Drosophila melanogaster: one gene and its partners. The protein of the gene in region 4 interacts with the protein of the main gene of each other region in a pairwise test. Each region holds a gene or a part of one and is shown on either strand. Other genes may lie near its edges.

Region 1 (9,000 bases), about 13 Mb from region 4:
CCGACCACAGTCCAATTAAAAATGACAAAATCAAGCGCTCGGCGCTGGGTAACCTGACCAACAATGTTAAGATCATGACACTGCATCCGGCACAGGATGAGGAGCAGTCGGGCGTGGGCAAAAAGCCAACGGCCCAGCAGCTGCAGGCCCTGATGGATGCTAAGAAACAGGAGAATCTCAGCGTAAATGTCTTTGGCGCCAGTAAGATGACTACGCGCGCCTCCAGTAAAGTGGAGGATTCGGTGGAGAACTGCCACAAAGTGCTCGATAAGCTGGAAGAGGCGTTGGCCAGGCCCAAACCGCGCCCCAAGGCAGTGCCTGCCGCAAAAAAGACCGTTTTGGGGGAGGTTCAGCTACCGGCCATGCCAAATCCTATGCAGATTCCCGTTTTACTGCCGCCCACGCACAATCTGGCTGCTCCCCAGGTTGCCGCCGTCAAGCCAGTTCGTCGGATCTCCAATGACTTCAACAAGACTGAGGACAGCCTGTACATGTCCGCGCTGGAGGATGTCTCCAGTTGCGACTCCATGCGGCTGTCTGGAAACTTTGAGGCGGCGCGACGTCGCTCCGCCAAGTTGCAGCAAAAGACTGAGCAGCAGCCACAGCCGCTGTTGCTGACACTCCCAGAGACTGCTCCAAGCCAGGTGGTGCCCATTCCGCCAGTGCCCGAGGAAGTAGAGGACTTCGACCGCAAGAACTGGGACGATCCCTTCCAGGTGTCCCACTACGCCATGGATATATTCAACTACCTCAAAGTGCGCGAAGCGGAATTCCCCATTGCCGACTATATGCCCAGGCAGATCCATCTGACCACCTGGATGCGCACCCTGTTGGTCGACTGGATGGTGGAGGTGCAGGAAACGTTCGAGCTGAACCACGAGACTCTGTACCTAGCGGTTAAGATCGTCGATCTGTATCTCTGCCGCGAGGTGATCAACAAAGAGAAGCTGCAACTTCTGGGCGCCGCTGCCTTCTTTATTGCCTGCAAGTACGATGAGCGACAGCCGCCGCTTATAGAGGATTTTTTGTATATCTGCGATGGTGCTTATAATCACGACGAGCTGGTGCGAATGGAGCGGGAGACGCTGCGCGTTATCAAGTACGATCTGGGCATCCCGCTCTCGTACCGTTTCCTGCGCCGCTATGCCCGATGCGCCAAGGTGCCTATGCCCACGCTGACCCTGGCTCGATACATCCTGGAATTGTCGCTCATGGATTACGCCAATATTTCGTTCAGTGACTCGCAGATGGCTTCGGCCGCACTGTTCATGGCACTGCGTATGCACGGCGGTCCGGGGCAGCTGGACAAGCAGACGTGGACATCGACGCTTATCTACTACACCGGCTATCAATTGGCGGACTTTGCTGAAATTGTGACCGCGCTCAATGCAGGACTGCATCGCAAGCCACGGGCCACCATCAAGACGATACGGAACAAGTACTCGCACAAAATATTCCACGAGGTGGCCAAGGTGCCGCTGCTGACGAACCAGGAGCTCTTCCAGGGCAACCTTGACCTGAACGAAAGCAATCTGTCGTAGGACAGCCTCAAAGTTTAGCCAAATTCAACATGATACGATACGCTTCACTTAGGCTCTAAGACGCTTCTATTCCCAATATTAGCCCCATCCCGACGAAACAGCGGATCCCCGCCTTAATCTAAAAACCCCTGATTTTACCCCTTACCTAGTGTTCCCGTCAAGTCCTCGCAATTTATTATATTTTAATTATTATTGTGACCTTCGCATTATTGACATGTTTTTTGCATAAATATTATGTTAAGAGTGCTTTTGTTTCTTTTTGCCATGTATTATTGTTTAATTTTCCCACATACCGCATACGTAGCCGAACACAATCAATCTAAACTCGAAAGGCGACATTATCTTTAGCACCCCCACCCAAAAAATCCCAAAACGATTCATGTTTTAATATGTACGTTAGTCTTAAGAGATGCCAGCATTAAATAAACCTAACTCGTAAGCCACCAAAGCAGACACGGATCCCCACTAACTTATTCTACACAGATACACAAACGCAAGGATACGAAGCGACTATGAAAGGCACGTGTGTCCCGTACAACCTGGAAATGCGCTGCGATCAACCCTCGTCCCGTGCACGCCATGTACGCCATGTGCATCTGTTCCTGTCGTCGTTATTAATGCTGTTATTTGTTAAGTCGTTCATGGACTCCCCTCCTTGCGCTCACATTCCCGCCCCTCGAAGGACGCTCACCATCAACTTCCCAGTTCCTGATCATACCGCCCCGCCCCGCCCTGCCTCAGTTCACCTCGTTTATCCATGGATGGTTGATAACGTTGCATTGTTGAAGTAACTAGTTATGTATGTACTCAGTGTTATGTATGTATCGTTTTGCGAGAGAATACCAATAAACATTTTTACGTCCGTTCAAAAATACTTCAATCTTTTTACCATCATTACATTCGGAAAACGGTGGGCGAAGTGAAAAAATTCTTACTTTTAATAGGGTAAGTGCAATAAATTCGTATTTTTATTTTTCTTTCTAGAAAACTCTTTTAAAAACCTGATGGAAGTTTCAAAATCGGGTGAGTATTAACTCAGATATAACTAGTTGAATGCAATTGTAGTATCATTAGTGTTTATGTTTACTTTAAATAAGTATTTTAAATTAGCTGTCTTTATCCAGCATGTTGGAAATGATCCTAGTTCCTAGGGGATTAAATAATTTAGGGCATTATTTTCAATTTCCTAGAATCTGGAATGTATGTATTTGTTGCAGTTCAATCTTTAATTGTTAGAAACAGAGCATAAACTCCTAGATGTCAAAGGTTAAGGGAAAACGTTTAGCACATCTAGACTTCTTTGCCGTGAGTATACCCATTACCCCACCCATTCTAATTCCTTTGTTTCGAATCCTCTCAGCTGAATCTGTGCTCCTTTCTCCGCGCTCATCATAGAACAGCTGATGGCTGATGACCTAAGGACATCAAACCCTGGCTGGAATCGGTTCGATTTGCTACAGGTAAAAACCACCGATACCGTCCGTCCAAATCATTCATAATCCATGAGTGTAAGTGTCTGTCTGTATACTCGTAGTCTGTATACCCCGGGCATGATTCTCTCGAGTTTCCTGCGGTTCCTTGCTTTTGGCGCGCTCGTCCGTCATTTTAGCGCCAAAAATTTGTTAAGGATTTGCGCGGCAGGCTGCGCATGCGCCGCAAGACATCAAGACGTCGTCCCTTGGTTGGGTTCCTTTCCTTTCCTTCGGCCCTCTCTTTTCCGCTGCACAGCGAAACCCAGCCGATTTATGTCGCTGCAGTTGGGTCCAGCGAAGGGCACCAGGAGTACCAATACCAGTAACAGCGTCTCTCTCTGACGCTGATTTTCTACCACCACCTTTGGCTCGCCCAGAGTCCTGCCTTTGTGCGTTCCCTTTTTTTCGGCTGCCTGCCAGCCAGGTAGCTCCTGTCGTCTTCGATTGTGTCCACGCCGGATAAAAGAAGCGGCATTGCCATAAGAATAAGGAAAAGAATAAGGATGGGATGTGAATGTCTTGGGTTAGCTGTCTGTATGGGAGCAGAATGCCGAGTGCATGTGCTTTATTTTTTCCGGTTCAAGGTGCAACTGGTAACTGGCCAGCATTGCTAATTATCTTGGTTGGGTGTGCAGAAATCAAGTTTATTTCGCAGGGACACACAGGATGATAGGCAAAGACAGCTGCCTCTGGCCAAGGAGGCAGCAGCGAAGTTATGACTACGACTCGGATTACTTCACGCCCCACCAACACCATTACCACTACCACCACCACCGAGGTCCACCCATGATGTCGGCCAGCTTCAGTAGGCCGGCGAGTTGAAGGCACCGTTGTATCCGCCCCCATATCCACTGCCATAGCCAAAGGCATTGTGATTGTTCAGCACTCCAAATGGTCCCTTGTGGACGCCATCCTCCTTGTACTCGGTGTTCATCGAGAAATGATGGTCCCAATGGCTCGGATCAGCGGGATTGTGAGCCGGATAGCGATGATAGTTCATGCCGCTGGTGGCAGGAGCCTGACCAGCTGCTCCGGGCACTCCTGCCACTCCAGGTGCTCCCGGAACTCCAGCTACTCCAGGAACTCCTGGTTGAGCCACAGCTCCGGGTAGCACTCCATAGGCGGGGAACTGGGCTGGTTGAGGGTACGCTGGGTACTGTGGCAAGTATACTCCGGGGTAGGGATAGCCAGGATAGGCACCAGTTCCCGGGAAGTAACCAGGTGCTCCTGCACCCACTGGCTGCTGGGGAGGAACTCCCACCGGATACTGAGCAGGAACTGCTCCAGCAACAGGATAGCCAGGAGGAGAAACAGCACCTAAAAAGGGGACATTTCATTAATATCATAATTTCATATATATTTCAAAATGTGGATTTGCTATTCACCAATCTTTTAAATTTTGTATAACTTTTTTGGGAGTTAAGACTTGATATTAGTTTTCTGATTTCACTAAGATAAATGAACCACCTATTAGAAGGACCTACCTGCACTTTGGTAACCACCGGATGATGAGGATCCTCCTGAAGAGCCTCCTGCAGCTGGGTACGGAACTGGAGCCTGTTGTCCAGGAAAACCCGGAGGCGGATAAGCGGGAATCTGGTGACCTCCTGTAATTGTGAGTGCCGGATTTGGTGACTGGTTGCCAGGAAAAACAACGGAGTTCGTACTGGCCACTCGTACGCCAGAGCCACCCTGCTCATGGCCATGGGCATCGTCGATGGATCCAGTTGCGCCCGCATAACCCGATCCCAGCTGACCAAGGCCAGGATAAAGTTGCGAATTGAGATTGGCCCGCTGGCGATGGCGACTGCTGGTAATGCCTCCCGTCAGAGTGGAGGCCAGGTTAAACTCCGTCTTCTGATCCTCCTGACTTTCGTCCCTGCTGAATTGCGAGGCCTGACCGCTGGCTATCTGGATGAGGGCCAGAGCGGCGAATGCGATGACCCTCCTGCTTAACATGGCGTCTTTGGGTACACTAAAGCCCAGAAGCTCACGGCGCGTGTATTTCATGGTGAGATCTGATGACACGAGAGCTTAGCTGAGTGTCTATTTTTGGGGTTATCATCAGGGGCTCAATGCCCAGATATGTAGTTTAAGTCTCATTGAGTGTTCTTTCTAGTAAATTGAATGAGAGAGTCTACACTGAAAGCAAAAGTTGAAAATATAACACAACAATGTGCATATGCATAGATACTAGCCATAAATTTGAACAAATAAATGAATTTTTTAAAGAAATACCCATATACAAATTTATAAATATAAATGTTATATATAAATTTCTTGCAATGTATAAATTTGCGGCCTAAAGCCAAGTAATAGATAAGTTGAGACGCATTTTTGGTTTAGGGATTTCCCAAGCAATTCATAACTCATCTTTGCATAGATGATGATCATGAGTTATGATCCTCCCTTTATATAGAGAACGAAAGCTTTCCCAGTCAACCTTGTTTACCAGTCAATAGATTAGTATTATAAGTACATATGTACATATAGCATTTGTTCCATTACCCAAGGTTCTTCCACTCGATTCCATTCATCTTTCTTATCGCCATGTGCTGCTGCTGGCTATAAAAGCCGCATGGACATTGGGACTATCAGCAAAATTGCTCTACATATCCCAAGATGCAGTTGTTGGCTGCGATTCTAGTGCTAATCCTGGCCAGCTTGGCCCACGGTAGACCCACTTTCGATAAGATTGCGGAGCTTCTGTTCGGCGACCCAAATCATTATCCGCCAGCAAGGCCAGTTGATCCACAGCTACATCCTGGACCAGGTCCACTCATCCAGGAGGGCTACGAGCAGGGCTACGACTATCACTATGGTGGAGGCTACGGCTACGGTGGTAGCCACCAGCAGACGCATCCAGGTGGCTATGCCTATTACCCACCACGACCGGTTCCGGCAGCAAATGACTACTATCCACCACCTTGGTCAGTGCGTCCTTCGCCTGGATACTACTCTCAGCCGTCTCATCCTGCCAGTGTCCATTATCCGCACAAGAATCAGGATCTTTACGGAGGTGGAGGTGGTTACAAGCAGCGGGGTTACTAACGTTCATCCGTCAGATACCCCAGTCTCATCCAATCATGTGCTGTCTCATTTGTTTATGTGTAATTTATTAAAATTTCGTTTATTTCCAACGAGCTTTTAGAACCTGTTTTGAACTTATGACAAAGACGATCTCGGGTGGAGCAATTGAACAATGGTCTACGAATATATATACAACAAGTGTGAATCGGGGAACTCCCTCTTAGAAGATTCATCTTCGTCTCACATCAATGGGAATTGAGGGAACCTCCGGGTTTGGCACATGGATATATTTGCTAGAGCTGGGGAATATAATAGCACGATTTTCGGAGAGTTCGTCCAATGGTTTTGGCAATGGCTCCGGCACGATCCAAGTGGGAAAAGTGGGCGTGGGTGGATCCGGATTATGGGGCGGCACCAACGGCGGTCGATTGGTTCCTATTATGAGCGTATCCTTCGTTGGCTGAGCGGTTGGACGTGGCTGGATCGTGGGAAAGGTGGGCTCTGGCTTAGGTGTTGTCGTTGGAAAGATGGGTCCTGGTATTGGCGTTTGTGGAGTGGTGCTAGACTCATTATCTGGATTCCAATTCGTGTTTGGATCATTGGGATCCGGCTGATCGGGGAGGCGTGGATAGTTATCCCATTCCTGTTCCATCCCTCCATTCCAGCCTGGCCTTGGTGGCGGAGGTCCTCCGCCATTCCATCCTGGCCTTGGTGGCGGTGGCCCTCCTCCATTCCAGCCTGGCATCGGTGGTGGTGGCCCGCCGCCGTTCCATCCTGGTCTTGGCGGCGGTGGTCCGCCGCCGTTAAAACCTGGTCTTGGTGGAGGTCCTCTTCCACCGCCTCCGTTCCATCCTGGACCATTCCATCCTGGTCCTTGCCCTCCACCTCCATTCCAGCCTGGTGCAAATCCTGTTTGAACCCAGTCAAATCCGGGTTGATTCTGATTTCCACCGGCTCCCCACTGCCAGCCGGGTGGCCAGCCAGGAGGCGTCGGTTGCTGACGGTTGGGTGGTGCAAATCCTGGTCTGTGCATTCCTCCTCGATTCGGACCCATCCCCGGCCTTCCTTGCTGCAGTCTCTCGAACTGCGGCTGCTGGTTGAAGCGGTTGTTGTTGTGCATGGCATTGATCAGTCCATTGATAACTCCGAAACCGGGCAGCTGGGCCACCACAGTGACGCCACCGGCGGAGGCAACAGCTCCGCCGGCGGAGGACGAGGAGACTGCAAATTGCGCGAGACACGTGCGTATCCAGATGGATGCCAAAAGCCAGACGAGCCAGGCCTGGCCAGCACACCAAGCTGGCGAAGATCGCGTCATGTTCGGGTGTTCGAGCAGTGATCACCACAAAAGGCGGACTCTAACTGAGGGGGAACTTTTACGCTCCGCCTATGCGATAATCGTTGATGCTTGATTAAACATTGAAAACCTGTCCGGCGATCAGTGAGAGCATGATGAAAATCAGTGTCCGCAACCAGAGAGATCTTAACCGCTCTCCAAAATAGGTCTCAGAGAGATGATCATAATAATAATCAGACGAAAAGTAAACAAACACCTGAAGCTTGAAAACAAAAATTGAGATACATATATAGTATGTAGTATACAGATTGAAGTATAAAAGAATAAGAGATACAGGCGATGAAAGAGATACTTCAAGTGATGAAAAATCCATAATAGAGGAATAAATGGAAGGGACTTACTAGTAGTATCCGTCCAGTCTTTACAGATCTCTGTATGTTAGTGTTATATTTTAATTAATTCAAATTCTTATTTGAAGTACACTCATACGATCTCAGCAGTGTGTATTTATATGGAAGTTTATATAATGGTTGGGGTATGAGATGTCCGTTGTATACTGACCATCTACCATCTGCGATAGCTCAGTCTTCCAGCGGATGAAGCGTGCTCCGCATGCTGATCGTGCCAATCCGCGTGCTATAATAAATCCAGCATAATGCATTAAGTCGCTTGCCCATTGGCCACGCTAATCTTCCAGAGATTCCGACTGTGTTTATGGGAATAAGAAGTCGTAAAAAAAAAGAATTGAAATGAGCTAGACCACAATGTGTCACCATCACAATGTGCCCAACTCCAATCCACAAGGGTATAAATAGAGGGAACTGCGTAGATGAACTGTCAGAACTGGAAGTGATTCGAAATCGAAGCAAGATGAGATCCCGCGATTCCCGATTGACTATCCTAACATTGCTGATTGCGTGCTGCCTGGATTCGAGTGGCGCTCTGTTCTTCAAGTCCTGGAAGACGGGAAAAGGATATACTGGATATAGTGGAGTACAAGACTATGGAGGCTACGGTCAGGGAAACTACGGCTATGGAAGCTATGCTGGAGGATATGGTTACAACTATCCCGCATATAATTCCTACTCTTACCCAGCTTACTCAGGCCACTCCTCTTACTCATACTCCAAAGGAGGACGCAAGCCTTCTGGAAACCGCAAAGGACGCACTTACTCGGACATTCGAAGAGTTATAAATCCCGATCCATACATCGGTCCTGGAGGCAGTCGCTTCCTGCCCCGTACTCCATATTCCGCCCTTTGGGGTTAACGATTCGACCGTCTGAACTCGCATTGTTGTCAGCAGTATTAGCCATTAAAATAAAATCAGCGAAAGTTACATCTAACCACAAGCTGTTAATTATTTTAAGCACTTTAAGCCCGCTACATGTGCGTACGTGTATATTAATCTACGATCAACTGATTTATGATCATCAGCCCGCATTTGCGGAGTAGTCGCGTCCAGTGGATCGCCGGAACGTGATGGTAATTGTAATGAAATGGAGGCGCGACATCGTTTCATGTGGGGATTGGGACAGTGGGGTAGTGGGTAAGGTCCCTGACTGGGATCTCACACCAAGGGATTTCTTTGGGGTAATACCTAACCATATCTGTTATGCACGACAGAATATTCTGATTCTGTATTCTCATGGCTGACAAAT
Region 2 (7,671 bases), on a different chromosome or scaffold from region 4:
AATTATAAGAAGGGCCTGTATTTATATGGTCTTTATATCTCGTATTTGATCATTTCTTATGTTTAAGTTTGGGTAAAATTTAAAAAAAAAAATTTTAAAAAGCAAACTAAGAATGTCAAAATTTAGATGCTTGAATGTTTATAACACTTGTAACTCTTTGCAAGGCATTACATCTGTATAGCAAATATTAATCATTTATTGTATACTGTACTAAAATAAATGAAATTAAACTCCATTCACTTATAAGTAAACTGCTGTCACTGCATCTTCATTTCTGCTAGGTTTTTTGCAGGTCAAAGCTCTGAAGCGTCAACCCCCTGGTGGCTCCCCCCCCCCCATACAATCAATCAACCGGCAAAAAATTTCAAATGCTGCCTAACACTGGCACTAGAACAAAAGCTTTGGCGAAAGCTGCGCTGGCAGCTCGTCCATATGATCGTCACTCTCAATTTAGTTTATAAACAACGCTCGCCGGCTGCAGTTGGAAACGGAGAGCGCGTAATCGGCGATATCAATTCGTAGGACATAGGACCGCCGTCAGCATATGTAATTGCTTATCACAGTCTGACTGTCCGAAATCGCTCCAGCGACAACAGATCCCCCAACAACTCGTGCCACCCCCCGCAAATTGCCGGCTTACGTAAGCCAATTGTATTCGTTTTAGCTGAGAGAACATCAATCAAAATACAAATAACAAAAAAACATGCGGCTATTGGCCAGACACGCGATTCGATTGCTGGGTCAGGAGAATAGCGCGGGCGAGGTGGCTTCACTTTCGAGAGGAGCAATCCGGCTGAAGGCCACAACCGGTTACCTCAATCTGGCCACGGCAAGTGTTCAGCCATTGGAGCCGGAGAAACAGGTGCTGAGAAAGGTGAGTACTCCATTTGGTGGGCACAAAGTTTCCGTATCGATTTCGCTAATCGAAAATTTAACCAGAATTCGCCACTCACGGACTCCTTTGGCCGGCATCACACCTATTTGAGAATTTCTCTAACCGAACGCTGCAATCTGCGATGTAAGTAAACCAACCACCTATGTTTTCGACCCTTATCAGTTTGCCCTGTTATTGTTTTACCTATTTGATAATACTCGCAGTGAAGTGGATCCCAGCCTTGATTGAATAATGTGGCGAAATTCGTGTCTTACACACGCACAACTGCGGTCAACATAATAGTTATGGAGTCCAACCATATCAGCCAATTGTTGACAAATTAGAGCAGATGGTCTAATTTCATTTGTAGCTGCTATTATAATCAGATAATTTTGGCGACATTAACAACGTTTCTGATTTCGATTACTGATAGATAGCAAACCCCCCATTGATATTAGATAATTTAATGTTCTTAACTTGAATTCGAGAAACTTCCATGATACTCTTCAGTTAACTTTTATTAAATTCCAATTGGAAAATTCTATTATAACTATAATGTGGTCATATTTTCAGGCGACTACTGCATGCCCGCTGAAGGCGTTCCGCTACAGCCGAAAAACAAACTCCTGACCACCGAGGAAATCCTTCGTCTAGCTCGAATTTTCGTGGAGCAGGGAGTGCGAAAGATCCGCTTGACCGGCGGAGAGCCAACTGTGCGCAGGGATATCGTAGAGATAGTGGCACAAATGAAAGCACTACCCGAACTGGAGCAAATCGGAATTACCACCAATGGCCTGGTGCTGACACGCCTGCTGTTGCCGCTCCAGAGAGCTGGACTAGATAACCTGAACATCAGTCTGGATACGCTGAAAAGGGATCGCTTTGAGAAGATCACCAGGCGAAAAGGATGGGAGCGGGTGATAGCCGGCATTGATTTAGCTGTCCAATTGGGCTATCGCCCCAAGGTGAACTGCGTCCTTATGCGGGATTTCAACGAGGATGAAATCTGTGATTTTGTTGAGTTCACCAGGAATCGTCCGGTAGATGTGCGGTTCATAGAGTACATGCCATTCTCCGGAAACAAGTGGCATACAGAGAGGCTCATTTCGTATAAAGATACCCTGCAAATCATTCGACAAAGGTGGCCAGACTTCAAGGCCCTTCCCAATGGACCTAATGACACTTCTAAAGCCTATGCAGTTCCGGGATTTAAGGGTCAGGTCGGTTTCATCACCTCCATGACGGAACACTTTTGTGGTACCTGCAATAGATTGCGACTCACTGCGGATGGAAACATAAAGGTGTGCTTGTTTGGCAACAAAGAGTTCTCGTTGAGAGATGCCATGCGAGATGAGAGTGTTAGCGAGGAACAGTTGGTGGATCTCATTGGAGCAGCCGTCCAGCGTAAGAAGAAACAGCATGCAGGTGAGTTTCGATTCCGAATGAAACGTAGAAAGTCTTCAGAACTTGGTACTCCTTCGCAGGCATGCTGAACCTGTCGCAGATGGAGAACCGGCCCATGATACTCATTGGCGGCTAGTAGACACACCACACTCTCTCCCCTCTCCCGTTGCAGATGCTGCGCCAAGACTCCATCATCATCTTCATCCTTATTCGTATCACCACGCATATCATACTTCAAGGCTGCAGCTTCAGGCCCGAAATTACAGCCAACTCACCCATGTCGATGGCCAGGGCAAGGCCCAAATGGTGGATGTGGGCGCAAAACCTTCGACCACAAGATTAGCTCGTGCAGAGGCCACCGTTCAGGTGGGTGAGAAACTTACCCAACTTATAGCCGACAATCAAGTGGCCAAGGGAGATGTTCTAACCGTAGCCCAAATTGCTGGCATAATGGGCGCTAAGCGAACCGCCGAACTGATACCCCTGTGTCACAACATCAGCTTGTCCTCCGTGAAAGTGCAGGCCACTCTTCTGAAAACCGAACAATCTGTGCGGCTGGAGGCAACCGTTCGCTGCTCGGGCCAAACTGGAGTCGAGATGGAGGCACTAACTGCAGTTTCAGTGGCCGCTTTAACTGTGTACGACATGTGCAAGGCTGTTTCTCACGATATCTGCATCACAAATGTCCGCCTGCTAAGCAAATCCGGCGGAAAAAGGGACTTCCAGAGGGAGGAGCCGCAAAATGGGATAGTTACAGAAGTCGAATAAGTCGAATACCCGACTAACCGGATTAACCACGATACGGGGAATGGAAAATAAACTACTGCTTACTTGATTTAGCCACAAATATTAAATTAAAAGACTTATGAAGCAAGAATACATAAGTGTAAAAATGTAGATGAAATCACTTCCTTATAGGAAACTAATTTGACTAACATACCAATAAAATGTTTCAGAACAAATGGCATAAAAGGGATAAATAATCATATAGTTTATATAGTTTTTGTTTCCAGTCGGTGGATAGAGGTCCATCCATTTTCAGATCTTGAATGAATCACAAGACACATGACTAATTTCAATCGGAAGTTTAAGGTATCTTTAATTCGTGGCCAGAGTGGGTTAAGTTTAAATGAGGGGAATTGATGGATAGTGTTGGTGTGAAGGTGCGATTGGAGGCGTTTCGCGAACTGCGCCTTACAGCTAGAAGTACATACAACATTAGAAGTGTTCAATAAACGCGGATTATCGCTCGCAAATCCTGGCAGAGTTCCCTCTCAACATAGACACAATAAATACGGTGTGGTGAGGTAATCAATCGCTCTCAGTTGAACACCAGGACATTACGGTTCTCCGCCTTGTCCTCCGCATCGTCGCCCTTGGCTCCTTCGGCAACCAAGTGTTCGCCGCGAATCTTGATATTGTGCTCCTCCTTGAACTTGTTCAGCTCACTGCCCTTTTTGCTCAGGTCATTGGTGACCATTTGGATGGTCTTGGCGATGAAATCCTTGTTCTCCACCAGCTGTGGCAGCACCTCCTTCACGGTCCTTTCGCACAGCACACCACCAATTTGACGAAAGCATTTCCGTTCGGGATCCGCCGCCTCCAGAGTTTCTATCACAGTTCTAGGGAGGATAAGGAGTTATGTCATTGTGTCTGCAGGGATTCTCCCACTTGCCCAAAATCACAAACAGACGTGTCATCCATCTTTGGGCCCCCGGTGACTCACTTGTGTTCCCTCAAATCCATTTCGAGCGTATTTAAACTGTTGACCAAATTGCGCTGCTCATTGCGCAGCTGTTGGAACTGGGCCACAATGGCCTCCTGGCTGAGTGCCGGCTTCGCCGATTCGGTGCTCATTGCAATGTTCGCTATCCAAAAGGACCCCTTCGAAATCTAGACCGGGATAATCGCTTCAAATTGGCGATAATCTGCGATTTTCTTTCAAAATACGAGACCGAACACGAGGACTATGCGATAAACGTCCTAACAAATCCCAAGCGCGTCAAGGCAGTAAGACCGTAAATGTATTGTGGAAAAATGGTGTAACGGTAAAAGAAAATATAGCACAACTTCAGTTACTTAAACATAAGTTAATGTAATAATTTATAAATTAATAGTAATTCTATATAAGAATTTCAATTTTATTCTTACTTATAATCAGATTATAATAACTTCAAGCTTTATATAACTTCAAACCCACCTGCTATCAAAAGTCACGGTCATTTCAATGGTAATTACTGAATAATTTATAAATTTTAAAACTAAGTTGGATACTCTCTTATTTAAGATTTTAAATACAAAATTTTAATATCATAAAGACAATGAAATTCGTCACTAAGTAGACGACATACATATGTTGCTTACGTTTCGCGGTGAATGTCATATTTGAATACACGTGCGAGTTGTTTCTAACGCCGTTTATTTTATTTAATGATTTTTATCTAATATATAGCTTTAGAAAATATAAAATCATGCCGGCAGCAGTGGCCACAGGTGTGCAATTCGGTGGACCGCCCAAAAACAAGAAAATCGTGTTCGACGACTCCGGCGAGGCGGTAGTTAAACAAAACAAAAAGGAGCACCCACAAAGGCCAAAATTTGAAGGGAAGGAACAGGTGAAAAAGCCGCAGAAAATTAAGTTTGGAGAGGATGGAAAAGCGAAAGGTGCTAAGTCCTTTAATAAGAACCACCAAAAGCCGGATTTTGCCAACAAACCACAGAGAATAAAGTTCGGCGATGATGGAGAACAAGTAGCTTCCAAGTCGTTCAACCAAAATCATAAAAATGGACCAAAACCACAGAAAATCAAATTTGGAGAGGATAGAGAAGCAGTGCATCAAAAACCTTTCAACAAAAACAACCATAAACATAATGGTCAAAAGTCGGACTTCGCCAATAAACCTCAGAAAATCAAGTTCACTGATGATGGAGAAGATGAAGTAACTGCGAATTCTTCCAACACAAAGACGGAACCGACCAAGAAGTCCCAAAAAATCAAGTTTGGAGATGACGGAGAGTCCAAGGAGAACTTTAAAAAGCCCCAACGAATCAAGTTTGATGAGGATGGAGCTGGAAAAAATGTATCCGACAGCGATGGAGACAGTGATGAGGAACTGGGGGACTCCATTTCCAAAAAGCACAACAAATATCAGTCAAAAATAGATGAAGACGAGGAGTCCCAAAAGAAGTGGTATCATGTGGTATGTTGAAACTAAACTGAAATCGTGGAAATAAATCATTTATAGTTATCACTATCGTATCTTAGCATCCCGACTATCCGTCCACCGATGAGGTGCTGGACATGAAGGAGAACGATCAGCTGGAGCTGTACAATCTCTGCAAGAATTCCTTCGAAGCGGAGAAGATAACTTTTAATAAACGTAAGACTTTCTCGACTCGGAAATTGGAACCCCTACTAATGTTTTTATCTCATCTTTAGGTAATCCCTCGGATGCTCGCTGGTTGCAAACCGCTCTGCACAAGGGTACTGCAAAGGATCGGGCCAATGCGGGCGCCCTTCTGGTGACGAGCAATCCACTGGGCAATTTGGAAGCATTGAGCACTTTAATTGGCTTCTGCAAGATCTCCAACAAGGCCAGCAATGATGTGATTGCAGTGCTCACGGATTTGTGGCAGGAGGTGCTGCTCCCGCCAAACAGAAAACTCCTGGCGGTGCACACACGTGGTGCTGATTGGAAAAAGCTGAAAAAGGATGAGAATTTGCGCAACGAACAGAAGCGCCGCATTTACGCGTACTGGCATTTTGAGAGCGAATTAAAGGATCAGTACCACGAGTTCTTGAAGAACGTTATGCAGGGCCTGCAGACTGGACAGGAACACAATAAGAACTCCTCTATTGTGTCAGCAGCCAGGCTGTTGGCCTATGCTCCCGAAAAGGAGCAGCTGCTGCTAACCATGCTGGTAAACAAACTGGGCGATCCCATCGCCAAGATTGCCTCCAAGGCGTTGCATCACCTCAGCGAGGTGGCCCAGAAACATCCGAACATGTGCGGTGTTATTGTTGCCGAAGCGGAGAAGCTACTTTTCCGTAACAATATTTCCGAGCGAGCGCAGCACTTTGCACTGTGCTTCCTCTCCAGCATCGCACCCTCTGGCCGGCCCGAAGTCTGCACCAAGTTGGTCAATATATGCTTTGCCCTCTTCAAGGTTCTCGTGCAGAAGGGAGCCGTAAATAATAGGACCATGCAGGCCATCCTTCGATGCTTGCAAAAAGCTATCGTGGAGGCTAAGCCGGCAAAGGATAGCAATGGGGAATTACTCACCAAGGAAATGCAGGACACCATCTACCGATTGGTCCACTTGGCTGACATTAGGGTCGCTGTACAGACTCTCGGCCTGCTGCTGCAATTGGTTGCAGTAAAAACTGAGAAATCGGATCGGTTTTATAATGCTTTATATGTAAAGCTGCTGGATCTGAACCTAATTAATGTGGGTAGCAAAACGGCGGCTCATCTACTGCATATTGTACATCGTGCCATCCACATCGACAACCATGTGGCCAGGGCCCAGGCATTCGTGAAGCGTCTGCTGCAGTTGACCCTATACGCTCCACCGCACATTGCAGCTGGTTGTTTAATCGTCATCCACAAGTTGCTGCGCATGCGCCGTGAGCTAATTGGCGGCACTGGAGCTTCTGAGGAAGTGGAGGAAGGTTCCAAAGTTGTTCTACCAATCAGTGCGGATCTGGACAAGTTCGGTAGCGACGATGAGGAGGTCTACGAGGATGTTAAAGATGAGGCGGATGATACTAAGGACTCCAATCCATTGGAGGAGAAGGCAGACAATGATGTTAAGTCAAGTGCATCATCCTGGCATCATGCCCGTGTGGCTGCCACAGAGGCCAAGGTGCGGGATATTGATTCCTGCAAGTACGATCCGTACCATCGAGTGCCCGCTTTTGCAGGAGCTGCATATGCACTCCGCCATGAACTGTTGTTGCTGCGGCAACACTACCATCCCACCGTTCAGGTCTTCGCCGAACAGATTCTTCAGCGTGAGTATTCCATTAGGTTTCTATTCATAGCCTTTTATAAACCCTTTCGATTTTTTTAGAATCACGCATTGATTACTATGGTGATCCGCTCAGAGATTTCGGATTGCCCCACTTTTTGGAACGTTTCGCCTTTAAGAATCCGAAAAAGCTGGAAGCTTCACAAGCAGCGGAAAATGCTACCGTGGCACACAAGCGATACATGGCTCACGGAGCGCGAGGAAGACCAGTGAAATCGCTGACCAAGGCCAACTGTACCGAGGACGAGATGTTCATCTTCAACTTCTTGGAGCATAAACGTAGACAGGCGGAAATTGTGGCGCAGAACAAAAAGCAAAAGGAGATCAAGAAGGACGCCGCAGAAGAGGGAGATGATGGCGAG
Region 3 (7,767 bases), about 11 Mb from region 4:
ACCGGTGTCAATGTAGTACTGGTTAGCGGCGGCGTTGATGATTTGTGCATGAAGTACTTCGTTGAGGCTGGAGCCATGGCTGTGCGTCGTGTGAAGAAGAGCGATCTGAAGATCATTGCTAAGGCTACCGGCGCCGCCTTTATTACCTCGCTGACCAACATGGACGGTGAGGAGAGCTTCGATGCCTCAATGGTGGGAGAGGCCGCAGAGGTGGCCCAGGAGCGCATCTGCGATGATGAACTTATCCTCATCAAGGGCACTAAGGCACGGTAAGTGCAGATTATATCATGCAGTAACATAGTTTGCTTTATCGTATCCCTATGCCTTTTTAGTGCTGCCGCATCCATTATCTTGCGTGGTCCCAATGACTTCTACTGTGATGAGATGGAGCGCTCCGTCCACGACGCTCTGTGCGTGGTGAAGCGTGTGCTGGAGAGCAAGAAGGTTGTAGCCGGCGGCGGCTGTGTGGAGGCTGCTTTGTCGATCTACCTGGAGAACTTTGCCACCTCGCTGGCTTCCCGCGAACAGCTGGCCATTGCCGAATTCGCAAAGTCGCTGCTGGTCATTCCCAAGACTCTGTCCGTGAACGCGGCCAAGGATGCCACTGATCTAGTGGCCAAGCTCCGCTCCTACCACAACTCCAGCCAGACGAAGCCCGAGCGTTCGGATCTTAAGTGGACCGGTCTGGATCTGATCGAGGGAGTGGTAAGGGACAACAAGAAGGCTGGAGTTTTGGAGCCCGCCATGTCCAAGATCAAGTCGCTGAAGTTCGCCACGGAGGCCGCCATTACCATTTTGCGTATTGACGACATGATCAAGCTGAATCCGGAGGACAAGAGCGGCAAGAGTTACGCCGATGCATGCGCTGCCGGCGAGCTGGACGGTTAGACATTCTTCACCGCGAGCGAAGCACATTTCTTCTATCTTGTTTAGGCATTTAATTTTAATCAAATCACTCACTTTCAATTGTCGCCCCATTGATTGTAACAACAATTTAATTGTGTTGCCCTTCGCGATCTGTATTAACACCGCACATCCGCAATCCTTTCTCATCCATGCTTCAATGTATAATAAACTGATCTTCAGAATATGCTGAGGCGTAAACTAAATTGGAGGGAAACAGTTTGTTATTTCGGGAGAGCGATCTGGCCAAGAGCAGGCAGAGAGCGATCCGGAGAGTGGGATGTCCTATAAATAGAGCGTGCATCTATTTGGTCTATTAATACAAAAAGAAAACACATCCCAAAAAGCACGGAAAACGCACATTGCTCTACGAATTTTTATCATTTAAAAAGAATTCTTCATAAAATGGCCGATCATAACGAAGATGAAGCTGTTGGCGGTGACCTAAACAACAATATAACAGCAAATGGGCAGGAGGAAGTGCGTCAGCCGGAGCAGCCGCAGAACGAACTGCTGGACATGGTTTTCACGTTGGAAAGCGAAAAACAGGCACTACTAGAGGAGTCTCGCAAACGGATCGGAGCGCTCCGCAAAGACTTTGAGGTTAGTTACTCGTCTCCACGGGCTGCACCCACTTACTGACCCTGATTGCAGGAAGCCAAGGCGGAAAATGAGCGTTTAAAGCGGAGAGTGGTCCAGTTGGAGCAGTCGCTCAAGCAGTCCGTCATGCTGGGCGGCACAGATGCTCCCAAATCACGACAAGAGCAGGAGGAGCTGCTTCTAAAGGCCAAAACCCTGCTGTTCGAGAAGACCAAGGTGAACAAACAGCAGGAGCAGCAGATATCAGTGCTTAGGACACAAGTAGACTCGATTAAGGATGTGCTGCAGGTGACCAAGGACATGTTGCAGCTAAAGACCGCCGAATGTGATCACACGCAGGCTCGTCTGGAGAAGAGCCAGCAGTGGATCAAGGCGGAGCAAGACAAGTGTGTGCTCACGGAGAAGAAACTAGCCATCTCCAAAGGAGTGTATGACAAGCTGCGTTCGGAGTACGACACCCAGTCACAGATATTCAAGGTGCCTTATAACTCGAGTCCAATGATATACTTGATATACTATTACCTTCTTTCCCTACAGGATCTTAAGTCCGCGTACGAGCAGAAGGTCAAGGTTCTCACCAAGGCTTTGGCAGAAGCCAAGAAATAGCTGAACAATTTAATAAACTACGTTAATTAAATGCACACATCTCGTTAATAAGTTTAATAATTTAATGCTTTCCGTGTCTCGTGTCTCTGTCGTTCTCCGTAGTCTAGGAGCTCTGGGTAACCGCCGGCTGCGATTGCTGCTGCGACTGCAATTTCGCTGCAGCAGCCTGCTTCATCTCCAGCACACTCATCACTGAGTTATAGAAGCGCGTCTTTTGCAGGTGGATCTTTTCGATTTTCTCGATCTGCTCCTGCACGTACTCCACGCGTCGCTTGAAGTAGTCTTTGGAGCCTTCCAGATCCTGTTTGAGAAACAGATGGCAATCAATAAATATTCTAGGTTCGATTGGAAATGTAAATCACCTTTTCAATGTAGTAGCCGGTGCCGATGTCTATGACGAACCTGTTGAGATCCTTGACCCGTCCTGGCACATACATACTGCTGGTCAGGGGCACCAGGATCTGACGGTTCTCCCAATTGGGTTGAAAGGTTCCCAGCGCCTCCTTGGATCCGGCGTACTTGGCTTGACAGCCGTGAAGCGTCGACAGCGAGTCCTGTACGTTGGTAATCTCCTAAGGATCACAAAAATGTACCGATTTTAGAAGCATGTGCCAATTGGGGCGCCCCTCCTCCAGAAACCCCCTCCGCGAGCACACTTGACTCATCACACACCCACATGCGGAACGCACCTGCTCGAACTCCTGCTTGATCTGAATCAGCTGTTCCGGACTCAACTTGGTCAGGTCGATCATCTCGGACTTGGCGGGTGCGCTTGGGGTGGCAGCCATTGCTAGTGCTTACACTTATAATTTACAATTCCACTTTTATTTTATTCAGTCGCCGTATAAGGTTGCCACCTTTGCGTATTCAACTCAACAGGGATGTCATGAAGCTGGGTCAGAAAATATCGATTTCACGGAAGCAATCGGGAATCGAATGATTCGTTGAAATAGTCGGTAGTCCAGTCCCGCCGACGATTTGTTATCGAGTACTAAGCGCGAAGTAAAAATTTAAAAAAAAAATCAGTGACTTCTGAATCTACAATATCTTTTGAGTTTAAAGACAGATCTTACTCAGCAAAAAAGCATTAACCAAACTTGTTTTTCAATTATAGTTTTATTGTATTTATTATATGCAATGTTATAATTCTGTGTTTTGTCAGTCATTCTGTATTTGTATGCGTTTTACAATTTTTGTTTTTGGTTTTCTCGTAAATTATAAAATCTAACACAAAACAAAGCAATTTCTTTAACAATCACTGCCGCTACATATACACGTTACAATTTGTTAAATATATATATATTTATATATATATAAGTAGGCACAGCTCAAGCGCCGCGCATCCAATACATGTTCATATACATATTCTCTGTTATATGTGGGGTGTTGTATGTCGGTTTTTATATATGTATAGATTAGATAACAATGATTTTAAGCCTAAGTAGAAGTAAGTTTTAGTTCCGATACTTGCGATCGTTCCCCTCTATATGCGCTCCCACTCGCAATCGCTGCTCCTCCGATCCTTGAACTATTAAGTTATATGCTTTAACTATGTTATTTTACCCATACAACTAACTGTACTCGTCCTTCGCGATCCTCCCACTATATCATACATACATAACATTTACCTTGATTTGGTTTTGATCTTAATAAAATGTAATTCGTTTTGAAACAATGAAGAAGATCTTGCTTTTGAGGGCGTGTCGATTCGATTTCTTAATCGCGGATATTTTAAGCTCCCCATCTGGATTTTGGATTCAATATCGTGTGCTCGCTGTTAAATCGCAAGGCAAATTTGTATAATTAGTTATATATAATTTGGTTTTCTCTTGAATCGAAACGAATAAACGTTAGTGGTTTACTTTAAATGCAGAGTTTTCATTGTGCAGCATTAACATTGTGAAGAGATAGAGAGAAAGTTGTCGGGAGAGAGTGTTACATTTATAAGTGGGAATGGTTTTGGTTATCAACAGCGTTAAAATTTGTGGTTTCTTTTCGTTTGGTTTCATTATCAAATCGAAGGGACGTAATTCGTAATAATAATCATTGATCGTTAAACATACTCGTACGTTATATGGTATGCATGTATGTATATTTTGTATAGATGTACATTTATAAATAGTATAGTTTGAATGTATGCGTGTATGTCCTGTATATATAGTTGTGTTTATGTACTGTACTGTACTGTATGTACTGTATGTACTGTGTTTCGCTATGTACTTGTAATTGTAATTGTCCTAGGTGTTCATTTCAGCTAGATTCGCTAGTTTGTCTCGTGTTTTCGCTTTCGCTTCCTTTTTGTATACAAGATAAGGGTTTAAAAAACTCGAAAATATATCAAAAGTTTCTTGAAATGCAGTATATATATGTTTTTTAGTTGTTAAATATATATATATATATTCATGTATATATAGTACTTTCCTAGGTATTTACAGCATACCTTGCCTTGGTTTCCATTAAGAATTCGAGAGAAGTATGTCCAGTAATTTCGCTAGTGATCGAATGCGTGAGTTGGTGATTGTGTGAGTGAGGTGAGTGTGCGTGTATTAGTAGTAGTATATCGAGTGTATATAGGTATTTTGTATATCTAATCCAAAATGATACACTAATTGGTATTGATAGTGAGACAAAAATTTTAATATAGCGCATCAAAATGATATATGCGATTATTAATATGTATACAGAATTTAATGGCGGCTTGCTGAATATCGAATTTCGCGTCTATGTATGTGTGCTTGTGTAATAGTATGTGGGTGTAAGCTGTGAGTGTGCTGGTGACTGCTGATTGTGTATACGTCACGTGGGCTTCGAAAAATACGCTTAAAGCTGCTATAATACTGTAAAATTGTTGCTTGATTTCCTCATTAGTCGACGGTAAAGTAATGTTCGCTCACATTGAATAGCAGTTGTTGTAGAAAAGCTAGGTAGGTTCGCTTCAGTGTCTTCGAATTTTGCGTGTGTGTTAGAGTGTTTCGTGTGTAAGTGTGCTAGTGTGTGTGTCTTGTCTTTTCCTTGATATGTCTGAGTTCATATTGCACGCAGATCGGTGACAATATTTAGTCTCAAATACATATAAAAAGTATATGTGTGGGGCTCGGGAGTGGAAGGGACTAACTCAAAGTAGCATCGAGTTGCTGCACGCAAACGAAAAAGTCGCATCACGTATATGTCAACCAAATCGTGGGTTTCTACTGTTTCCTCCGTATTATCGTGTTTGATTTCGTTTCGTTATCCTTTAGGTTTACCACTATCTCATTTACATTTTAACTAATTAAAGCCGGTTTCAATTCAACAAACAATCTGTAGCATAAATTCTTGCATTCCCCGTCATCATTATTATTATTATTACTATTATTGTAGTCAACCAAAGTTTGTCTCCTACGTTTACAGCACCACATTTTGTAACTTTACACGCGAAGAAAAAACCCACTCAGAACCTCATTACTTTACGTTTACATATAAATATATATATTTAAGTACGTTTATATTGAATTTCTGCTAAATTGTTTAGTGGTTTCGCTAGAAGATTTGCAGTTTAATTAGTTTTGCTTTCGGTTTTGGGCCGTCTTCCTTCGATCTTTTCATAGCATACTTTGTGGCGAAATATTTTACACAATTACTTGATTGGCTAGTGGCATAATTTATCGTAACGCTGTGATATATATAATATATATAGTTTTATACGTTTAGTGTAATTTGCTTATTCGCTGATGGTTGTGGCTGCTCTCCAGTGGTAGTGGTATCTATTAGCAAGTCTTGAGTTGAAGCTATAATTTCTTAGGCGTAATCTAAACGTTACCTTTGCTGTGAACCAATGCTCCTGGCCAGATGCACTTGTCTAAAGTATTTGCGTGTCTATCTGCTATCTGCTATCGGTTATCTGCTACCGGCTATCTGCTCTATCTGCTTGCTGCTAACGTTATCAGCCATCGTGAATCGCGTGATGCCCACCTACCGAGCTGCGCAAGGCGCCATCTACATATTATTATCCTTCCGTCCACTTCCGTTTCCGTTTGTACACCCAATGTCCGACTGCGTCCGCTTCTAATTGTTTAATTAACGTTACGAGGCTGCTAAATAAATATATTTATATACGCTTATGTGTGTGTTTTTTTTTTTTTTTGTTTCTCGTATCTTAGGGGGACTTTTACTTTCACTTTCACTTTCGGCTCACTTTGCACTATTAATTGCTAATTTGACGATATTTCCCTGCGACCATGCCGCCTTACACATACCACTCCTTGACGTCCTTGGAGTCGCGTTTCTTGGCCTTCGGCTGCACCAGGCCCGCCATCTGGGGTCGCCCATCGCTGCCATAGCCAAGTGACCCACTTCCGCTGGACATCATGCCGCCACCGCCGCCGCCTCCTCCATTTCCATTACCATTGTGCCCATTGTGCATCTGCTGTTGGGCATGATGCTGCTGTTGCCCTGCACCTCCACCGCCTCCGCCACCATGCATATGGTGCTGCCGCTGCTGGTGGTACGATCCATTGGTGCTAGTATTTCCCAGGAGTGCAGCATTCGGATTGTGGGAACCGTAGGCGGCCGCCTTCTCGCTCTCCGTCTTGTAGCCACGATCGCCATTCGACTTGAGCCACAGGACCAGCAGGATGACCAGCACCACTGCGATCAGTATGCCCGCCACTATGCCGATTATCATGGCGGTACGCTCCTCCTCGATCGAGTTAATTCTGCCGCCCTTACCCTTTGGACGGTAGTTGTTCATGTTGGTGTTGTACGTGTTGCCGCCATAAGGTCCGTACGGAGGTGGATCTTGCGGCGGAATGGGTGGCGGCAACGGTGGCAGTGGGTGGTGCTCGTCCGGCAGCTGCATGCGATCGTGATCATTTCGCCCGGACCCACCCATGCCGCCACCAGCTATATAAATATCATAGGGCGTGGTTTCCCGCTCGGTGACCGTACTCCGGATCTCCGGTGGCGGTGTGGCTTGAGTGGTGGTCGTTGTCGTGGTCGTCGAAGTTGTACTGCTGCTCGTGCTGGTGCTGCTGCTAGTCGCCCGTTGCGTGGACGATGTGGCCACGCTGCTGGTCGTGCTCACCTGACCCGGCGTGCTGGCTGCCGATCCGCCGCTGCTGCTGCTGCTGCTCGACTGCGTGGTTGCGTAGGACGGAGTGCTGCCGCTGCTACTGCTGCTACTGCTGCCTTGGTGCTGCTCCGTGGTCACATCGCTGCGTCCCGTGGTGGTAATGGTCACCATCTCGTTGTTGGACTCTGCAAGCAGTCGGTTTGGGTTTATTCAAGTGTTCTCAAGTGGGGTGCTCTATACTTGTATGTTTGTTGCGAGTGTGTTTGTGCGCTTAGTGGTTGCATTGCTACCCTCGATATTTCTTAAAACCCCATTATTCCCCAAGGAATAAATGATATTTTAAATTTTCTCCATGGGTTCACAATTTCTCTTCCAATATGTAAGAATTTATTATAGAATTTTAGAAACTAATCATAATAAACGGAATCCTGATTCAAAGTGCTTACTTCGGAAACCTTTAATTGAGTCATCTTTCCCTCCCAAAAATCACTTGAACCGCCAGTTGTGCTTTGCTTTCAATAGTTTATTCAACACAGTTAGAGAGGATTAGAGATTTGTAGATATTGAGAGATATGTTGAGGTGTGTCATTGTTGTTTTGGGTGCTGGA
Region 4 (8,021 bases):
TGTGTGAGTAGCTGCCAGACAATGGGCAGAACACGGTCCATAAAGGGGTTGATGTACTTTGGCATCTCATTGACCAAATGGGTAAACACTAAAGTGAGATCAAGTTTAGTTTACTTTCCAGCAAAGACGAAATGAAACCCACCCTTGATAATTTCCGTGCGAAGCAGGAAACTGGAAACGGCGCCGCTATTCATGCTCAGGTAATGCATAAGCTTGTCCATAAAGTTTGTCAAAATGGAGCTCATCATGGTGCTCTGCTCTTCTTTGTTGGTGATCAGTGCAGCAATGGATGCAAAAAGTGGCTTCAAGATGCGAATGGCCGAAACTCTTGTTTTGATCGAGTAATTTTGCTCGGAGTCGAAGATGCGATAGACTTCGGGTATGACTACTGGACCCAGTTCCTTGATTTGCTCCACGTCGTAGCTGAAATCCTGCAGCACCTGCATGGCACCGTGTATGGAATCCTCATTGCCGCCCAGGCATTTGACAATGATGTCGAACAGCTCCGCCCAACAATGTGGGTAATCCGTGGCGGCTATGGTGGAGATGGTATGCGCGACTGAGGAGCGTATCTTTGAATTGGGATCATACAGTCCGTTTGGCAGAATGTTTCGTATGGTTCGCTTGGCCTGCTCGCTGGCCATACAACCGTTGGCTTTCCTTTTAACATCATCGTCATCCGTCCAGTGGTTCTCCACGTAACGAGTGAGCATCACGATCGCGATTTGACGGAGTGGCAGCTCGTGCGCCTGGTTCATAATGATCTCGGACAGGTAGACGCCATAGCCTGCAAATGAATGAGATGGTTAAAATAGGGCTACATGTGAACCGCGCCCAAGCCACGCCAATCCAGCTGCCCGCCAAATCACCTTCCGTGTACTCCAGCTGCTTGATCCTCTTTTCTGTCTGCTGCAGGACTCCTGTGTCCGAGCTAAGTAGGTTCTGCAGCTCCTCGATGATGGCTTGCTTAACGGAGTCCCCGCAGTCGTTTTGGAATTGCAGCGACATTCTTCGGCCGTGGTTCGAAATAAATTAATTCGTAATGCCCAAATTCGCACAAAAGAAGCCGGCGCGGCGCTATCACATGTAGTCAACGGGCGTTTTGCAAGACTGCTTCGTGCGAAACTAGTGATGACAAACTTACGATTGGATAGTAATCGATTTTTAAAAAGGATTCTTGACTACTATGTTAAGCCTGCTCAGTACAATTTTTACGTTTTTTTCTTTTCTGTTATTGTGTAATGGAATATACATTTTTTTTAAAACAACATTTTAATAATTTATTTTACAAGTAATTATGTGTTGGTATGTATTTAATTAACAATTCGGACAACAAAACATTATTTTCTAATCCTAAGTTTACCAATGGTTAATACAAGCTAGATTGGTACAGATTTATCACTCAAAGTATGGAATATTTTAATTACTTATGTAGTTCCTCGATTTTGGCGACCAGTTTTGCCTTCTTTGACGACTTGGGCATTGTAACATCGAAGTGATGCTGCAGAATAAAATGCAACTGGGCGGCCGTGCAACTCGTCAGAGCCTCATCCTTGTTCAGGCTCTTTACGAATTCGAATTCCTTGAGTTGATCATCATCGATCTTGGCCATTTTGGGACCGCTCGCTCCCGCTGTGGTGGACTTGGCTGCTCGCTTCTTATGGGGTTCTGCTTCCGGAGCGAACATTTCATAGTCCGGCAGCAGCTTTTCTATGCGCTTGTCCTGTTGCGAAGTGTCCAGCAGATTATCGAGTCCTTTAGTATCTGTCGAAAAGTCCAGGGAGAGGGCCAGAAGATTCGCCTGCAGGGCGTCCAGACTTGGATCGTTGATGAGATTCGGCTGATAGTCAACGCGCAGCTTCTTGATGATCTTTTGGAAAAACTCGACTTTCTGTTCGTCAGCAGTGTTTTCCGTATTGTTCCAGTCCTGCAAGTCTAGGTGGCGGATGTGCTTGGCCTCCGGCAAGTAGACAATCTTGAATCCGTCACCGCAGAGCAGAGAGCGATAGTTCTTATCTTCCCCATTATCTGGGGCCTCTACTGGCACAAGTGCCACATAGCGAGGTATCGACTTGCGCTTGCACATGAACAGGCAAATGGCAATCTTGTCGCGCACCAAGCATCGTTCCCACAATGCGCGGAACAAGCGCTTCGATCCGATGATGCTCTGATCATCGGGGTACATGAAATTCGCTGGCTTGATGTAGCTAACTTCGGGAAGAGAGGATCGATGCTTGAAGCCCAGCAGCATCATTTGCGGCTTGTGCAGATTGCGCACCCTGTTCAACTGATCCATGCTGATGCGCAGATCCCTTTCGCCCACGTTGCAAGTGTACCAACCGCCCGTCACCTTAATCTGATACTCGTGCTCGATATCCTGCGAGCCATCGTCCTTTTGTTTTTGCACCGTAATCACTCGCTTAGTACGCACCACACTGTTGTCCCTGCGCAGGATTTGCACTTTGCGCGGATAGGCGCGTCGCTGAAAGTAATTGTAGTACTGTACGGACATGGATAGGTTGGGGCCCAGATAAAAACTGAAGTGGCCCAGGCATCGGCGAAGGAAATCCTGCTTCAACTTACGATCGGACAGGATTTCGCGCAGCATCTGGGCATCTGGCACCTGGAAGGCGTCCAGTTCGATAGCTGCAAAAAAGGTCCTCATTAAACATCATCTAGTGTACGGATTGCTATATATTTATTTTATTATTCTTGTAAGCCAATCCAAAACCACGAACCAATTGAGCTTCACTTGGATGCGGGTGAATGATTGCTTATATTTGATCTACGAAGTCTTAAAACCTTTCAGGCGAAAATTGAACGCCAAACAGGGGAACAGACTTCGCACATTAAAACCCATAAGAAATGAATAGCAGACTTAAAGGACTTACCTCTTGACAACGTGATGAACTCCTTGTAAAACGGCTCGTAGTCAAAGTCATCGACCATGGGAATGACATGAAACTCGAACTCCTTGCCCTCCAGATCGCTGGCCTTTTGCAGGGCAGCCTGGAAGTGATTGCTGTTCGATGGATGAGGTTCCCTGACGTCCGTGACATAGGCGATCTTGGCGTTGTTTAGCTTCTTGCCGCACTTTTCCAGCATCTCGATGCAGAGCCGGATCATAAGGTCAAACCTGCCGCGACCATCGGGTTCCGCCAGGCCATACACATCGGCGAACTGCGTCTCCACCCCGCCCATGAATTCCAGATAGTGCTCCACAATGGGTTTGGTTAGTTGGCGAAGGGGCAAGAACACTGCGCAGTTATCCGGCATTACGATGTTGTCCAATGCACTGGCTTCCAGCGGCGGCGGACTGTGCTTGGTGTTGGCGAAGATGAGTCCGATGAGGTCCTTGTCGTTAACCAGAAGTCCGGATATAAAGGCCGTCCGGATGATGTTCAGTGCCTCCAACAGGCGCTCCACGCCGGCTGTCTGAAGATTGGCGTCTACCACGAACAGAATGGCCTCGCGCCCATGGTAGTCCCGCTTCATGGACACATCCTCCTCGTCCTCGGACCCAGACAGCAGGTCCACATCGTTCTCCGGATTCCAGGTGCTCATTATGCGGCTTCTTTAGATTGCTAAAAATCTGACTTTCCGCTAATTTCACAAGAAGGCGGGCGCGCTTATCGTCGCTGTTGTTATCGATTGAGCTAGGGATGAGAGTCACGAAGAGAATTGATATATATTTAAATTTATTTAGACATTATTTAATGTTTTTAACATATTATATTATCCCAACGTTTATTTATATAATTATTTTAATATAAGTTAGTTTTACATTTTTATACGAAGTTGACCACCACCTTTCGATGACAGCCATTCAATCGATTGTTCCATCGCAATTTTGACTCATCGACTTTTACAGCGGCAGGCTGACCTCCTGAAAATTAAATTGCATTTGTAGACGGCACGGCTGAAGGCAACAGGATGACAGGAATAATGGACTCGGTGGAAATGCCCAAATTACCGGAAAACCAGAAGACCTTCGCCGGCATCCCGGAGGCAGTGTTCCTGGTGAGTGGTCCTAACCTACAAGCGTGCACCTGCAGCTGGACACTGCAGGCTAATTCGTGGTTCTTGGGCCCTTGCAGGAGGAGATCGACACCTTCATGTCGCAGCCGGAGAACGAAAATTGCGAAAAGGTGCTGCAGCGACTGGACGAGCAGCACGGCAAGTATCGATTCATGGCCTGCAATCTGGAGGCGCGGCGGCGCAAGTTGAAGTCTCAAATTCCGGACCTGGAGCGCTCCCTGGAAATGGTCAATGTGCTTCGCAAGGAGGACGAGGAGCGCGAGACGCAATTCCTGCTCAGCGACCAGGTGTTCATCAAGACACTGGTGCCGCCCACGAAAACAGTATACCTCTGGCTGGGGGCCAGCGTGATGCTGGAGTATCCGCTAGACGAGGCGGAGGCTCTGCTGAACCAGAACATCACATCGGCCGTGGGCAACCTAAAGTCCGTGGAGCACGATCAGGATTTTCTGAGGTCAGTTCGAGTGCTGTTATTCAAGTTACTTGTTTTATTGTATTATAAATGTATATTTTAGGGATCAAATCACAACTACGGAGGTGAACATGGCGCGGGTCTACAACTGGGGCGTGAAAAAGCGGCAGGCCGCTACCAAGACCACCGCCACTACCCCATCCTAAGGAGACCCACCCAAATCCCATCCCAAGATCAACATCGGTAGCAGCCACTCGCATCTTATTTATTTCGACAGTACACCGCAAGGGCTCGGCAGGCGATTCCACCTGGCTTATTCTTGTTCTCCACTGATAGCAATAAAACCGCCACACAAACGCATCAAGCTGACTCCAAACGAGATGCCTATTCCGGAGGAATGTAATATTTTAATTTGGCTACGGGCATTTAACTGCATGTAAACCGAATAAACGGCGAACGCAATTCATTGAGAGTAAAGCCGAATTCACAAATCATAGGATTAGGGTTCAGTTTATTTCAAATCTTTAACATCCGGAACTTACACGCCTCATTTGACCTCCCACTTCATGGATTGGTGCAGGTAGTCGCCATCGGGACTGACGTAATCCTTAATGGGGGGCGTGGCAACGGGTCCTTTGACGGCGACGGGCAGCAGCTGGGGATCGATATCGATGGCCGCCTGGTAGAGCTCCTCGGACTCGCGCCGAAGTTCCGCCAGCGCCTTGTTTTGCGCCTGGACCAGCCGGTCGATGATCTGAAAGTCTGCTACGCGCTCGTCGTGCTTGTAGTGCGCCCACTGCTTCTTGAGGAGAGCACGTTCCTCCAACTGGTCGATGGTCAGTGGAGCTAGCTTCCGCTGCCGTTTGCTGAACGATAGGATAGCATTACATCTCAGCATATGAGGGAAACCCGTATGAGAACCTACTCCTTTTCGTCGATGAGCTCCAGTGGAACCTCCAGTTCATCCACGGGCTTCAGCTGACGGGCATTCTTCTCCAGCCGGCGAATCTGCTTTTCGATCTTCTTCTTCTTGCGATCCTCGCGCTGCTTGACAATCTGCGGATCCAGTTTCTTCTTTTTCTTCAGGGGCTCCGCACAAAGAACTGGTGTCGTGTGGAGGCAACGTGCAAAGGCGGCACCGGCGACGCCGCCACTTCTCTGCAGACTCAATCTGAGACAGAAGGCAGGTGGGGAGTGAGTGATTGTGTGACCAGGGACCAGGTGCATTCACTTACCTGGCAAAGGCGCCCAGCAGCGACATTTTTAATAAACAAATGTGGAAAAAACCTTTGCGTAATGTACGAACAGCTGTTTTTGTTGCTGTTCAATGTCCTAGCGATGGACCTATCTCGATTGACCAGTCTAATTGGAAAATCGATAAGTCCAATGTAAAATGTAGAAAACAGGACGGCAAATATGGAAATACTGAAAAAATACCGCCGAATATCTGAGTACGTTATTTTCAAAATATCCATACAAATTACGCATACGACATGTTGCACAACGAAATCTTTCTCAGATTTTCTACTTTTCAACATTTTAGGCCTGCTATTCATATTCCCATATTGTTTCAGTACTTACCACTCACTTTGCCAAGATAAAACAATGCATTTACTATTTTTATACGATTTTAAAACTTTATTTTTAAAGATGAAAATAAACAATATAGTTTTATTGTGTGTTTTTTTGTATTTTTTTCTTAGTAAATTTTACATAATTTTTCAATAAAATAAGTTTTGTTTTTTTTCGATTAAAAATGTCATATTGTAGTTTAGTGTTTTCCTCTTGTTTTACAATTTCCATTCCATTACACATTTTTAGTACGATGTCTATCGATTTTGTCGCTTGCATAAATATAAATTTGTATGTTATTATATTCGCTTATATCCGAAATACTGAATTTACCTCATACATATTTTCATTCATTTTTGTGTGGTGATGGTGTCGTGTGGTGTGGTGTCGATTGCTTTTGCTTTGCGCTAAATGCATTCTCTAAATGTAAATCCAAATTTCGATTTTCCGTTTTTCGGGACTTTTAATCATTTAATTGCAATTTTTCGTTTGCGCTAAATGTACAATTTTGATCGATTTATCCGATTTAGCGGGAACAAAACTGGTCCAAAAGTCTAAGTTTATTTTCAATTTGTTGGCCTGAAATGCGTTTCCGAAGTTTCCAAAAGTGTAAACCAAACCAAAGTTTATAAAACGGAACCGAAATCGAAACCGAAACCAAAACGTGGCTTATACATATATCGCTATGGTTCATTCGAAATGAGTTAGTTAATCATATAAAGTTAGTATATCGTACTATCGTAAGTGTATACGCGACATAGTCGATTGTGAAATTTTCTCGTTTCCCAACTTTGTATGTTTCCACCGCGTATTACATTCATATATGTTTGCTTTGCTTGATTTTATTTTTCCATTACTTTTGGTTTTCTTTTCATTACTTTGCTTTCTTTTCGTATTGTGGTAAATAGTAATGTGTGAGTTTTTTTGTGGGGCAAGGGGATACAGGGGATTGGGTGTTGGTAAATCGGGAAATTGGAAAATTGGGATACGTTTCCTATTGTTAGTACATATTCTTATAAATTTAAACTGTGTGTGTGAAGTGACTTGATTCAATCGTTTTACTTGGCCTTCAGCTTCTGCGGAAGAGAAGGTCCTGCGGTAGTATGTCAAGTTGGAATTTCGAAAATGTCAACGTCTTGTGCTGGCCTTCAATTTCGCTTACTTCGCACTAATCAAATTTGAAATCAATGTGTGTTTAAATCTCAACTTAGTATAAATTAGGGTAAATCGTATATGCGTACGCGGGGTTTTTTTTCCCATTTATTACTCATATAGCTCCGGATTTTCGAGGATTACTAGAGTTTGGCATTTATCCCCGCATTTTTGCATTTTCCGGAGCTCTTCTTCCACCACTTAGCTTACAATTACATTATAAAAGTTATCTCTAAAGTTGTTTGTACTATTGCTTGGAAATCATTCCGGTCTATTGTTGTCTTTTAACTGAAAGTTTTCATTTTTCTATATTTCACAATTTTCAAATGTTCGCATGTTGTTTTTGCTTGCTTAATTGAACATAAATCAATTTCTTGGCTCGATTTGGTTTCACTTGGCCCTTGGGGGGGCCAATACATTTTTGATCGTTTGCATCCATCAACCGAAACGATGCATTCTCCCGCCCCCCCGCTCATTGAATTTCGGAGCAGAGTGGGCGGGGCTGTGTTCCTCAAGTCGATCTTTTGTCAATCCTAAAGGTTGGCCGAAACGGTTTAATTCGTTTGAAAAGTTGTAAGCAAAGAACCCTTTACACACCTCGGTGTGTCCTTGTATTCTGATGGCTAAGGTCGTTGTGTCGCTGTGTTTGTTTGTGGTATCGTAATCGTTCGGTTATACAATGTTCAGCTCAAAGGAATATACATACTTATATACATGGAGTATCTGTGTGTGTGTGAGTGTGTGGAAGGTGTGTTGTGTGTCACATAATCAATTTTAAATTTTGCTAATTTTTGCTAGTTCTTTCCCATCGTCGACTAAAAAAACGATTACGATGCTGCCAACTCAA

What was found.
Region 1: the proteins of mgr (region 4) and Elal interact in a two-hybrid assay, tested with the Drosophila melanogaster proteins (2 studies listed by BioGRID).
Region 2: the proteins of mgr (region 4) and Pfdn2 interact in binary tests that used the Drosophila melanogaster proteins (3 or more experiments, as listed by UniProt).
Region 3: the proteins of mgr (region 4) and Pfdn5 interact in binary tests that used the Drosophila melanogaster proteins (3 or more experiments, as listed by UniProt).

What each region holds. Positions count from the first base shown.
Region 1 is NT_033777.3:24,861,342-24,870,341, reverse strand, and holds Elal (Elastin-like), read right to left. Parts: upstream 4,993-9,000; 5' UTR 4,973-4,992; coding exon 4,498-4,972; intron 4,331-4,497; coding exon 3,816-4,330; 3' UTR 2,691-3,815; downstream 1-2,690. Other genes in the region: CycB3 (cyclin B3), read left to right, coding at 1-1,541; Srg1 (Sting-regulated gene 1), read left to right, coding at 5,636-6,064; CG7016 (uncharacterized protein), read right to left, coding at 6,273-7,361; CG13640 (uncharacterized protein), read left to right, coding at 8,211-8,609.
Region 2 is NT_037436.4:11,070,112-11,077,782, forward strand, and holds Pfdn2 (prefoldin 2), read right to left. Parts: upstream 4,278-7,671; 5' UTR 4,136-4,277; coding exon 4,005-4,135; intron 3,901-4,004; coding exon 3,600-3,900; 3' UTR 3,181-3,599; downstream 1-3,180. Other genes in the region: Mocs1 (molybdenum cofactor synthesis 1), read left to right, coding at 704-874, 940-1,018, 1,448-2,299, 2,451-3,046; Noc1 (nucleolar complex protein 1), read left to right, coding at 4,750-5,478, 5,544-5,658, 5,718-7,292, 7,352-7,671. UniProt on the Drosophila melanogaster protein: Binds specifically to cytosolic chaperonin (c-CPN) and transfers target proteins to it. Binds to nascent polypeptide chain and promotes folding in an environment in which there are many competing pathways for nonnative proteins.
Region 3 is NT_033777.3:22,482,424-22,490,190, reverse strand, and holds Pfdn5 (prefoldin 5), read right to left. Parts: upstream 3,153-7,767; 5' UTR 2,898-3,152; coding exon 2,799-2,897; intron 2,682-2,798; coding exon 2,472-2,681; intron 2,411-2,471; coding exon 2,213-2,410; 3' UTR 2,110-2,212; downstream 1-2,109. Other genes in the region: CCT1 (chaperonin containing TCP1 subunit 1), read left to right, coding at 1-269, 333-888; CG5376 (uncharacterized protein), read left to right, coding at 1,309-1,506, 1,558-1,980, 2,041-2,109; Nrx-1 (neurexin 1), read right to left, coding at 6,335-7,344. UniProt on the Drosophila melanogaster protein: Binds specifically to cytosolic chaperonin (c-CPN) and transfers target proteins to it. Binds to nascent polypeptide chain and promotes folding in an environment in which there are many competing pathways for nonnative proteins.
Region 4 is NT_033777.3:11,405,681-11,413,701, reverse strand, and holds mgr (merry-go-round), read left to right. Parts: upstream 1-3,826; 5' UTR 3,827-3,933; coding exon 3,934-4,020; intron 4,021-4,097; coding exon 4,098-4,492; intron 4,493-4,553; coding exon 4,554-4,656; 3' UTR 4,657-4,910; downstream 4,911-8,021. Other genes in the region: Ipo9 (importin 9), read right to left, coding at 1-88, 143-787, 870-1,008; Irbp (inverted repeat-binding protein), read right to left, coding at 1,424-2,646, 2,892-3,564; mRpL40 (mitochondrial ribosomal protein L40), read right to left, coding at 4,998-5,316, 5,376-5,621, 5,686-5,711. UniProt on the Drosophila melanogaster protein: Binds specifically to cytosolic chaperonin (c-CPN) and transfers target proteins to it. Binds to nascent polypeptide chain and promotes folding in an environment in which there are many competing pathways for nonnative proteins.